2 linked regions of the Drosophila melanogaster genome follow. Changing the gene in region 1 together with any one later gene gives a genetic interaction. Each region holds a gene or a part of one and is shown on either strand. Other genes may lie near its edges.

Region 1 (4,963 bases):
AGGCTGCTTGGCTTTTTAGTGGCAAGGATATGTTTCTTGCCAATGCGGCCCCATGCCGGCCATCTATACTCGTGGTCGTCCGTAGTCCGTCGTCCGTCGTCCGTTGTCCGCTGTCCGTATTCCGTAGTCCTGCGTTATTGTTGCTCCTTGTTGTGTATACGCCTCTACTTATATGTACGACTACACTATATCCTTGGGCCTGTGTTTTCGTGTGCGTGTGGCTGTGCGTGTACGTGTGATTGTGCGTTTCGGACATGGATTCAAAAACCTTTCTTAGCGATTTCCCGAAAGGCAGCAACTAGCAACTCTGGCGACACTGCTGCTGTCTTTTTCGTTGCCGTTGTTGTTATTATGGTCAGTGGCCGCCTTCGTTGGCCAGATACAATAGGGAAATAGGGAGCTATGTATGTGCGATTGTGTGTGTGCTCTGCGCAAATGTTTTGCATAGCAACTACTAAGTCTACGACCTCAAAATGCCTATGTGTACACACGCATTATATAAGATCGTAATCTCGGGGCTATCCCACGATGGTGCAAATACTTGTCAGGTTTTTCTTCTCTCGCAGAACTAATCAAAATACACTTTGACTTGAAACTTGCTTGGGAATGATATCAACAATCTATTTAACATGGTTTTTTATTCCTACCTAGAGCTTATCAGCTCGGTAATTAATATTACAAGGAACCTAAACATCTTAATGCGTAACCATGTTAAACATTGGTGTATACCAAGCATTGAATATGTTGTGCACTAAGTATATGAATATGTATGAATATGTCGGCACTTTAATGGAAAACATAAGTTATTGTCCTGCCTACCTATATACACTACAATTATATTATTCTTGGTAGCTAAATATGGGAAATACATATTTTGAAGCTGGCTATCACCTGAAATTTGCAGCTGATTAGTTTCTTGTCCCACAATTTGAATTCGATTATTTCGCCATCTGACATTTCTAAACCGCAGCAATTTGCCTGCAAAAGTCGATGGAGAAACAACCACTATGTCATGCCCATATCTTTGCGATCGAGTGTCCGTTCGAGAATTCCGGTTCCTTCGGCGATCGCCGGTCACGCTCCAGCGAAAAGAGCGACGAAAAGAGCCAAGAAAGCCACTCTGTTGGACGGATTCGCCTTGTTTTCAAGAATGTGGGTTTCCCAAGGGGGGTTTCCCCGTGGGGTCACCACCTCCTGCCGTCATAACTTCGTTCGGTTCGGGCGGCAAAAAGCCGAAGACGAGGACGAAAGCTGCTCTCTCACTGGCTCTCTCCCTCTCTCTCTCTCTCTCTCTTAAGGAAGAGGATGTTCGGTTCTCATTTGCCTCAGCTCTTTGCGAAACGGTCGCGAAAGAGAGGCGAGCCCACGTAATCTGCGATGAAGGCATGTATCAAAACAAAGCGAGGAAAACTGGCCGCAATCACAACAGCAACAACTGCAGCACATGACAGCGGGAAAACTAGCAGAATTATCAGTGACGATAAAAGGCGCACCCCCTACTGCGAAAATTAGACAGGGATTTCGGCTAGGTTTTTCACGTTCTTCTCGCAGATCCGTTGCTCGTTTGATAGTTGTTGCCCAGCGTTTAAGGAAGCAGAAAATGGCTTAGCTAAACGCAAGCAAATGCCTCCTGAGGTTGCACACAGTCTTACACTGGAAAAAATCTAGATTTTACCTAAAACTAATACAGAATACAAGGAAATATAAGCTTGGCAGAAAAGTAATATATACTTTTCATCACAAGCGATCGTATCATCTATTCGTTTATTTGTATGAAATTTCATTTTCATAGTTATAATCATGGAATATATGTACATAACTAAGAGATACAAAATTGCTAAATTATTATACTAAATTTCGAATTCTTACCAAATTTAATAACATTATCTTTACTAAGGTATCAAGATTTTTCTCTCTGTGCTCACACACACACGTGGGCGCAAGAAAGGAGGCCGAAAAGGATGTGCGTCTCTCAATCTCAAAAAGCCTAGCACGAGTATTGCGTCGTCTTCGTTGCACACAGCTGTGTGTCCGCACGTGTGTGTGTGTGTGTGTGGGAGGATGTGCTGTGTTAGTATGTGTGCTCGATATGTGTGTGTGTGAGTGGACACTGGCCTGTGGTTGGGCCGGCCAAAATGCGAAAATGCCAAAATGCGAATATTGCGAACGGGGCAGCCAAAGCGAGAGGACTTCTTCGCCGCCGTCTTGACCGTTATTAATCATTGTACATTTGGCTGTCACCGAAAAAGGCCGCGAATTTCGCAACAGTGAGAGCGAAAGAGAGCGGGCGAAAGAGAGTCCGAGAGAGGGAGCGAGAGAGAGCGACTCACGCACACGTGAAAGAAACAAAAACGACAACTACAAAACTACTAATACCAAGGCAGACCAACTGACCAGCACACAACCACCACTGCAGGACGCATATATCTGCGAGTGTGCTTGTGTATGTGAGTGAGAACGAAACGCCGCATTTCGTGGACGTGCGACTTTAAATTTCCCGTGACGTCGCCGCCGTCGTCGCCGTGCGGAAATTCGCCGCGCTAAAATCAAAATTCACTCAAGTCCGCCGCGGTAGTTTGTCGCCGCACGCTAGCCGCTCAGGTTCGCACATCCACGTCACAGCGACGCAGCGTCACAATATCACAATATCCTTCGACGAGCGCGAGAGAGAGGTCGCACCGCACCGCACCGCATGTCCTGCCGCTAAAATTCGCACGCCACAGCAGCGGTAAACATCACGCCGCATCGCGAGCACAGTGTTCGATTGTGATTGACCGAGTGATGTTATACTTTCAAATGAACAACAACATTAACTGAAAACAATAAATTCAAATCCATGTGAACTATAAGTAAAGTGATTTAAAAACATCGCCGGTCGAGATAAGAATAATTTAACTGCTGCAAATAGTTGCGCTATCACCGAATTTCTCCCGCCTTCGCTGGAAGAAGGCACCGATCCATTTTCGCCCCCGGAAGATAACTAAAAGGTTAGTATTTGATTTCACCGGTGAATTGAGCAATCCGTAAAGTGTAATTGTTAGTTCTGCATTAATTAATAACAGTTAACTGAGTGTTTTAAACACAACTTGAAGAATTGGTGACACAAGAAAAAATATTAAATAATCAAAAAATATTTATTTAAATCGGAAACCAAACATAAAAAGTTTTTCGAGAGATTAGTTTTGAAGATTTATTGTTTACCTTTCTACATAACAAAAACGAATTATTTTTACACAATTTGGAAAACAATATAAGTGCAGTTCTTTGTGTATTTGAATAGTTGCCACATTTTATAAATTAATAAGTACAAATCTTAGTAGGTCCTTCAAATAACAACTTAACAACTTTTTTATACAAAAGAGCAGGAAATATTTTACGAGAAAGTATTTATTCATATTTATTTATAATAATATTCAGGAGTGATAGATATTGTGTATAACATTAATATCTTATGTAATTTTATTATTTACCTCCTAACACTGCGTTAGCAATTACTTAAATTTGCTTTCCATCAAAAATTAATATTTTTAATTTTTTATTTAATTTTTTTACCTCCGAGTTTAGATTCAAATATTACTTTGTCCATATGATACTTGGTTTGTAAAATAAGCTTGAAAAAATGTAAATTTTATATAACTAAAGAGTTTTAGTTAGATTTCCTTTATCTACCAAGTTTATATTGAATTGCAATATTAACAAACACAGGAAACCGGTTTTATTGGCCCCTTAATGTATGCAATACTTTTTGATTGTATTTATGGTAAAAAGTTATTTTCCTATCCGTTTAGTTGTTGAACGCTTCTGTGTCACTATTCTCATCTTGTTTTATAAATTAGAAAGTATTTAATAAAGTTGCTTATTATTATCTTTCTTATTTTTTATTTTATTTATAATTATATTTTTCTCGTACATCATTAGCATTTCAGTGTTGTAAAACAACATCATTCATAACATCACTGATATTTCAACACTAGGAAAATTATCAAAGGATTTACATATTTTTATTTATTTATTATATAACTGTAATTCTGAAAATCGATTCATTGTTTAAAATAGTATTGCCCATACATGAGACCATAGTTAGATAATTTGATAAAGTTCATATTGAATCCCCCGACAATTAATAAATTCGTTCCACTGCGAAATGCCGACACAACATTAATCGGGCTAATCATAAACGAAAACACACAATAAAAAAGGTGCAATAGTGCTTAAAGCCACATAGATCATTGGTGCCAACAGGTCCAACATTACAGCAGACACATGGTTTATTTGCACACACTTAACTGCGGTGAGGGAAGCATCCCAGACATCCCAGACACACACACACTAACACACGATTGGGTTTGGACCAAAGCAACTTTTTCTTTTATCTACGGAATTCTTATTTTTATGTGTTGCCTCGTTTTTGTGTTTTATTTCTTTCTGCATTAGCACAAACGAATGGAGCTATCAAACGCTTGCACATATTAGTACTAGTTTCAGTCGTTGACCTCCATTTGCCAGACTCTCCTGCCCCCCTTCGCTTGCCCCTCCCCCCGCCTCGCTCATCCCGACCCATCCCATTTGACCCTCCTTGGTGTCCTTGCCACATTGCCACATGCATTGCCCCTCTGTGTCTGTGAGTGAGTTCAATACGAAGCCAAAGAAACGAAAAAAATAGTAAATACAATAAAATTATAATTGTATATAGGAAAATCAGAAGCTCTTAGCCCACACACACACACACATACACACTCACGTGTACGATGAAATGGCCAGACGGTTGGCCATTACAGACATACTGACGGGTATGGCCATTCCGGCATACATATGTCCTGTCCTGACTAGGTGTGTGTAAGTGTTCGGGTGTGTGAGTGTGCATGTGTGCACAGCAGCAACATCAGACACAGACGGGCCCCTTCCACACACACTCACTCACACACACACTGACAAACTTGGTGTAATTCTTTTATATTTATTT
Region 2 (8,027 bases), about 16 Mb from region 1:
TCATTTGGGAGATGCGAAGATCATGAGATAAAGATGTGCGGATCCGCCCTGTTGATCTGCCCAATCTTCCCCTCGAAGGAACTTCTGTTGAGACAGCCGCAGGCCAAAGGTTAAGGATAAGGATCATTTGCATGCGTGGCATGGACTTTCGGCAATTAGACGATCATGATCATCAGCATGTTTGTGTTTGTCCCGATCACCGGATAGGTATATCGCAGCTCATCAATTAAAAGGTCAAGCGTGACGGTCCTTGGGACTATTTGTTATGTCCTTAACTTCAACTTTACATAACTTTCCAAACGTAACTGGGTAGGATCCACACAGCACCCGCCCGCCTAAGCAACGCTAATCGGGCTGATCAGCGAACGCTAATCGCTCGGGACTAACTGGATCCTCCGGATCAGCGGCGCTGATCCTGCGTGATCCTGCGTACTGCGTAATGTTGGATTATGTCCTGTGCAGAAGTACGGCCAACTTTTAAATCGCTTTTAAATCCACATCACTCTAGTTCCAGTCGCACTTCTTCGGATGCGCGGATTAATGAACTGGGCGGGCCGATCAGGTAGCTTTGCGTCCTTTAATCCTTTCTTCGCTAAGTCCGGTTGCAGTTCGTATTCGTAATCCGGTTTGCCATGTCAACGTCAATGGCAGGTCTACCTCCGGTACTACCTGTTCCCGAGACGTCCTTTTGACACATATATTCCTCTGGATATGTGAGAGCAACTTGTATAATTTGCATTCCGGCGGCGATTTGTTTGCTCTGTTGTTTTGTAAATATTGCTTTTACATTTTCCCCACCCCCTCTGCCAACGCCCTAATTTCTCCCCGTTCCACTTTAGTTTTAGCCAAAATATTCGACATAAACAGGAGATTTTAGCCCAAATATTCCACATAAACAGGAGATTGAATAAAATAGCTGGAGGCACATTAATTCCGAACTTAATTATGAATTTGCATGTATGTTTTCTTTAGAAAAACTCTGATCCATACAAATAATAAGTTATCCTTTTGTATTGTATAGAGAAAAAAAGGTTTTTACCAATGAACTATGAATAATGAATAATAATAATAGTTTTTTTTTTTAGTCCAAAATTTGTCATTAAACCTAGTTAGAACAATCGCTCCTAATTTATCATTCTAAAAGCGAACATTCCGCTTGGGAAAAAAATTGGTCTAAACCGAATGATACTATTAATGATATGCATTTATTGCTAACCATAATCCTTGTCAAGCTAACAATGATACATTTTCCGAAATTAGCTTAAAAAGGTGGAATACACCCAATATGCACAAACTACCTTAAGGAGATTTGGAATTTCGAATGCTAATTGTGGCAAAGCTTTGCCCAAATTAAGTTAACACGCACAGCAACAGGAAAATGTGTTAAAGCAACAAGGAATCTCCTCGGCCCAAACTTCCATCGTCCCAATTGCAGTTGGCTAAGTTGTTAATGTGTCTGGGCTTAAAGTTGCCCAAAAAACAATTGGCGAAGGCCCCCCATCTTCCTCCATTTCCGCTCTCTCACTTTTGGGCCAGAAATCAATAATCAATAGTGAAGCGGAGATGCCAAAAAACGGCAAAGAGCCAAAAAGGCAGCTGCATTCGGCCAAAATGCAGCGCCAGAAAATGCAAAAGGATAAAATGAGCGAGTCAGAGCGAGAGAGTGGGTGAGTGAGTGAAAGAGCGAACGCCACGAAGGGGATGCTGTTTAGTTATTGCTTTTGGGGATGGGGAAAGTCACTCAGATTTACAGCTAGCATCCGTATCCGTTTTGAGTGAGTTTCGTCGTTACGTTGTTGATGCTCTCCGGCTGCTCTCTCATTTCGATTTCTGCTTCTCCGTGTAACGGCTCTCGTGCGCCTTTGTGTTGTTGCACTTCTGGCATTTGTTTTTGCTTTGCAATTGAGATTTTAGATTTGAGTTCTTTTTTGGCGAGTGCACTGTTGTGAGGAGCAGTGAGGAGATTTTCAGCTATTAGAAGAGCCCGCTGAGCGTGAGTTTGGTCAGTTGTGCTCCGAGTCCCGAAAACGAAAGTCGCCAGCATTGACAGGCAGCCACTGAAATACAAAAATAACCAAACATCCAAAGGACGAAACGTAACTGCTATCAAAACAAATATTGCCATTAAATACAATTAAACTTCGTGCTTGTGCTAAAAGATAACCAATTGCAAAAAGACTTTTGTCCCGAAAACTTATTTTTTGGCAAAGACCACATCCCGCACATGCGCGAATTCCGCGAAAAAGAAAGCACAAAAGCAAGCTAAAAAGCGAGGCCCAAAAAATAGACAAAAACGAAGAGCAAGGAGCCCCCACATCGCCGCTCCCCCTCGCACGCACTGTGCGTGTTGGTCTAACGGTAACCGTGCCGCGGTCAAGCGAGAGAGTGGGAAAGAGAGAGTCCGCGAGCGAAAAGCGAAAACTTACGTGCTCCTGCTCCTGCTCCCGGTTCCCGTTTCCAAATTCTCCCGCAGAATTGCACTTGGACTGTCCGCAAGGTAAGTAACTGGGCGTACCATCCAATATCCTAGTTATACACTGCATTCGACCTCCAATAAATCGTAAAAAACACATGGAGGTAGAAATTCGCAAAAGCTTTCCGCGGATAAACAAATAAACAAGAATTACAAATCGCTTTTGCGGGAGCAAATGCCAAAATGTTGGGGTATCCAGAATATACACAGTTTTTGTGAGGATTTACATACGCCCTGTAAATTTTAATTTAGTTCTCAATTGATACGAAATCTGTTTTTTTTTATAGAATATATTCGATATATAGTTGTTTAATTATAATTCATCATGTGATATACTTTCAAAAGAAACAGATTTAAATAGTTCGTTTATATGCTATTATGCACTATGCTTAATGTATTTTACTTTATTAATTCATGCTAATCTGATGACTGATAACCAATTTGCTTATTCTATGTCATAATCACCTTTAATCCCAAGTACTCAACTTTCTTCTAGTTCTGCACATTTTCTTGTTCTCTTCTTGTTGTTTGTAATCGAGTGCTTCTTTTTCTGTCTAACCTTAGGAACACAAACAAGAGATCTCACACACATGCACACACACAACCACACAGAGTGGTAAATCATTGCTAAAAATGCAAATGGCAAAAATTCTAAAACAATATTTTAAAATCTGTCTGGCTTTTGGCCGATCTTCGGGTGAACTTGTTTTTTGCCCGCTCTGTCTGTTTTTGCCTAGAACTGCAGCGTATATCCAACCCCCAACCGACCCCCCCCCCTCCTCATTTGCTCCTCCTAAGCAACGCCCCTGGCCACGCCCCCCTCTACGCCTGACAGCTAATTTTATTTGTTTACATGTCGACTTTCATGTTGTTTTTTTTTCGCCTTCCTGCCCCCCAAATAACCCCTTCAATTTTTAGCATTTCTTTTCGCTCTTCTTTCGGCAAATGCATTTTCGACTTTTCTTTTTTAATAATTTAAATTTAGACATCGAACTATAATTCAAAGTCAACGTGGCAATTTTTTAATGGCAAATAGTTCGGCACTTGCCAAAATGCATTTCAAATATAATGAATACACCTATGTGACGCTCGCAGGCTTTGTTTTTTTTTTTTGTTTAGGATGATGATGGGAATCATTATTGCACGATCTTTTGCAGAATTGATTGTCATCCGACAGTTTTAATGTTTGCCGACAAAAAGAACTGAGCGCATTTCAAACAAATGGGGCTTTGTTAGGCGCATAAAAATAAATATGCACATATTATACGGGATATATTTATAAACCGCAAATGACATTGAATCACTTCAGTCAGCAGCAGCAGTGCAGTTTTCCCTAAACGAATGCAGCTCCAAAAAACAACAAGTTGTTCTAAGCCAACAACATAACGGTTGCAACTACACATATGTATACGCATACATACATATATTTTATATACGCCTGCAAACAAGCAGGCATATCCTGCTCTTGGCTTGCTTTTTGTACGGATTTTTCAACAAAAACATTTTTTGTGTGGCGCATTTTCTGCGTTTTCGAATTTTTCCATTTTTGCCATTTTCATGATATTTTTAGAGGGTTAAAAAGGGGGCGGTGTTGGGGTGGGGGGGGAGGCACCAAAAACGACTAGCACATGTTTAGTTTACTTTTGCAGTTTCGGTTGCCTGGCTGCACTCGTTGTGGCCACACCACGCCACTAACCCCCACTGCATGGTCCCCATGCCCCCACCCCTGCCCCCTTGGCCCATGCCCCTGCCCGGCGTAATATTAATTTTACACTTGGCCTTTAGTTTGGCTTTGTTGCTGTTGTTGGGCATGGCACAAAAAAGCCCAGACGAAAGGCGAAAATTCTCTTTGTTTCATAGTGCGCACACACACTAACACACTTGCCGAGCAATTAATTTTGGCTTTCTTTAAAAATATCCACAAAAGCGAATTTAAATAAATATGCTAAGCTTCATTTTGTGTGGTGCACTTTCTGTTTCCTGAACCATCAATTATGCCTAAGTATTGTAGATATTTTAGCTGCCAGATAGCACAGCACCATCCTCCCATAATAATATTCCGTAAATGCCCCTTTTTCCCGTTTTGCGTTTTTAATAATATTTACTTGAAAGCACAAACAATTAGCCAAAAATGCAGCAACTGCACAATTTTTCAGTGTGAAATTGGAAATGGAAAAAATATAGGCAACAAGCAATTTTAATGCGAGAATTATTAGAAAAACTACGCAAATCAAAGTGAAATGTCTGGCGGAAAATTGTTGTCAGGAAAATGTTTTTCAAATGGGTGTGTAATAATTATACTGCACATATTATGCATATAGTTTAGTTGGTCCTTAGAGTTTTCCCGCAGGTGTAAGCAGTTCTGATCCGTTAATTTAGTTAAGTCCCGCAATCCTTTTTACTTTTTATTATTAACTACGAAACTGCCCACGCTAGCTGCCTACTCCTGCTGTCGACTCCTGACCAACGTAATCCCCATAGAAAACCGGTGGAAAATTCGCAGCTCGCTGCTAAGCTGGCCATCCGCTAAGCTCCCGGATCATCCAAATCCAAGTGCGCATAATTTTTTGTTTCTGCTCTAATCCAGAATGGATCAAGAGCGCAATCCTCAATCCGCGATCCGTGATCCTCGATTCCCGACCGATCCGCGACCTGTACCTGACTTCCCGTCACCTCTGCCCATCTAATCCCTTGACGCGTGCATCCGTCTACCTGAGCGATATATAAACTAATGCCTGTTGCAATTGTTCAGTCAGTCACGAGTTTGTTACCACTGCGACAACACAACAGAAGCAGCACCAATAATATACTTGCAAATCCTTACGAAAATCCCGACAAATTTGGAATATACTTCGATACAATCGCAATCATACGCACTGAGCGGCCACGAAACGGTAGGATATTGTTAGCCATTACCAAGTGTCTCCATTTTGAACACAAAATCACTCAAATCGCCTTCAGGGGGTGGGTGCCGCCCAGCCACCCCTGACGTATTTTTTGTTAGGGGTGGTGCCGCAAGCACACCAAAAAAAGAGAAAAAAAAAATAAAAGCGAGGAAAAATAAAATGAAAAACAAGCGGAAAAAAAGAGGAAAAAACTCGACGCAGGCGCAGTGCATGAATGAATAAATGAATATGCCCACTAACCCCACTCTCTCTGTTTTCTTATCCATTACAGCCGTCTAGAGCCGCCAAGATGCAGAACTGGGAGACGACAGCCACGACCAACTACGAGCAGCACAACGCCTGGTACAACAGCATGTTCGCGGCAAATATCAAACAGGAGCCAGGTCATCATCTCGACGGGAATAGCGTGGCCAGCAGTCCGCGCCAATCGCCCATTCCCTCGACCAATCACCTGGAACAGTTCCTCAAGCAGCAGCAGCAGCAGCTTCAGCAGCAACCCATGGATACCCTGTGCGCCATGACCCCATCACCCAGCCAAAACGATCAAAACAGCCTGCAGCATTACGATGCTAACTTGCAGCAACAGTTGCTGCAGCAACAGCAGTACCAGCAGCATTTCCAGGCAGCCCAGCAGCAACATCATCACCATCACCATCTGATGGGTGGATTCAATCCGCTGACGCCACCTGGTCTGCCCAATCCCATGCAGCACTTCTATGGCGGCAATCTGCGACCCAGTCCGCAGCCCACGCCCACATCTGCCTCCACAATTGCGCCCGTTGCAGTTGCCACTGGCAGCAGCGAGAAGTTGCAGGCACTAACACCACCCATGGATGTCACACCGCCTAAGTCGCCGGCCAAGTCGAGTCAGTCGAATATTGAGCCGGAGAAGGAGCACGATCAGATGTCGAACTCCAGCGAGGACATGAAGTACATGGCCGAGTCCGAGGACGATGATACCAACATCCGGATGCCCATCTACAATTCGCACGGCAAGATGAAGAACTACAAGTGCAAGACCTGCGGCGTGGTGGCCATCACCAAGGTGGACTTCTGGGCGCACACCCGCACCCACATGAAACCAGACAAGATCCTGCAGTGCCCGAAGTGCCCGTTCGTCACCGAGTTCAAGCACCACTTGGAGTACCATATCCGGAAGCACAAGAACCAAAAGCCCTTCCAGTGCGACAAATGCAGCTACACGTGTGTCAACAAATCCATGCTAAACTCGCACCGCAAGTCGCACAGTTCTGTGTATCAGTACCGTTGTGCGGATTGTGATTACGCCACCAAGTATTGCCACAGCTTCAAGCTGCATCTGCGCAAGTATGGTCACAAGCCCGGCATGGTTTTGGACGAGGATGGCACCCCGAATCCCTCGTTGGTCATCGATGTTTACGGCACGCGTCGTGGTCCGAAGAGCAAGAATGGTGGACCGATTGCCAGTGGAGGAAGTGGCAGCGGCAGCCGGAAGTCAAATGTTGCAGCTGTCGCTCCGCAGCAACAGCAATCTCAGCCAGCTCAGCCAGTCGCCACATCTCAGCTGAGTGCCGCCCTGCAAGGATTCCCTCTGGTTCAAGGCAACTCCGCTCCTCCGGCGGCATCTCCAGTGCTCCCGCTGCCCGCCTCTCCTGCCAAGAGTGTGGCCAGTGTGGAACAGACGCCCAGCTTGCCCAGTCCAGCCAATCTTCTGCCTCCTCTGGCCAGCCTTCTGCAGCAGAACCGCAACATGGCCTTCTTCCCCTACTGGAACCTCAATCTCCAGATGCTGGCCGCCCAACAACAGGCCGCTGTCTTGGCCCAATTGTCGCCAAGAATGCGAGAGCAACTGCAGCAACAGAACCAGCAGCAGAGCGACAATGAGGAGGAGGAGCAGGACGATGAGTACGAGCGTAAGTCAGTGGACTCTGCCATGGATCTGTCCCAAGGAACGCCAGTGAAGGAGGATGAGCAGCAGCAACAACCGCAGCAGCCGCTGGCCATGAATCTCAAGGTGGAGGAGGAGGCCACGCCTCTGATGAGCAGCTCGAATGCCTCGAGACGCAAGGGACGCGTCCTCAAGCTGGACACCCTGTTACAACTGCGATCGGAGGCCATGACATCTCCCGAGCAACTGAAAGTACCCAGCACACCCATGCCAACTGCATCCTCGCCCATTGCCGGACGCAAACCCATGCCCGAGGAGCACTGCTCGGGCACCAGTTCGGCAGATGAGTCGATGGAGACGGCCCATGTGCCGCAGGCCAATACCAGTGCCAGTTCGACGGCGTCCAGCTCGGGGAACAGCTCCAATGCCAGCAGCAATAGCAACGGCAACAGCAGCAGCAATTCCAGCAGCAATGGAACCACCTCAGCGGTTGCAGCTCCTCCATCCGGAACTCCGGCGGCGGCGGGTGCCATCTACGAGTGCAAGTACTGTGATATCTTCTTCAAGGACGCCGTGCTCTACACCATTCACATGGGCTACCACAGCTGCGACGATGTGTTCAAGTGCAACATGTGCGGCGAGAAGTGCGACGGACCCGTCGGCCTCTTCGTTCACATGGCCAGGAATGCTCACTCCTAAGTTCCCCATCACCATCACCTTGTTATTATTATTTATCACTATTATCATATAATCGTTGTCCAGAATTGTATATATTCGTAGC

Evidence for each region.
Region 2: of dan (region 1) and hb, changing one enhances a phenotype caused by changing the other (phenotypic enhancement), as found in Drosophila melanogaster (one study listed by BioGRID).

Annotation. Positions count from the first base shown.
Region 1 is NT_033777.3:25,182,443-25,187,405, forward strand, and holds the start of dan (distal antenna), read left to right. Parts: upstream 1-1,940; 5' UTR 1,941-2,987; intron 2,988-4,963. UniProt on the Drosophila melanogaster protein: Probable transcription factor with a role in the retinal determination (RD) network. Regulates ato expression and is required for normal R8 induction and differentiation.
Region 2 is NT_033777.3:8,691,796-8,699,822, reverse strand, and holds the start of hb (hunchback), read left to right. Parts: upstream 1-2,000; 5' UTR 2,001-2,497; intron 2,498-5,222; exon of another isoform or gene 5,223-5,367; intron 5,368-5,650; 5' UTR 5,651-5,668; coding exon 5,669-7,945; 3' UTR 7,946-8,027. UniProt on the Drosophila melanogaster protein: Gap class segmentation protein that controls development of head structures.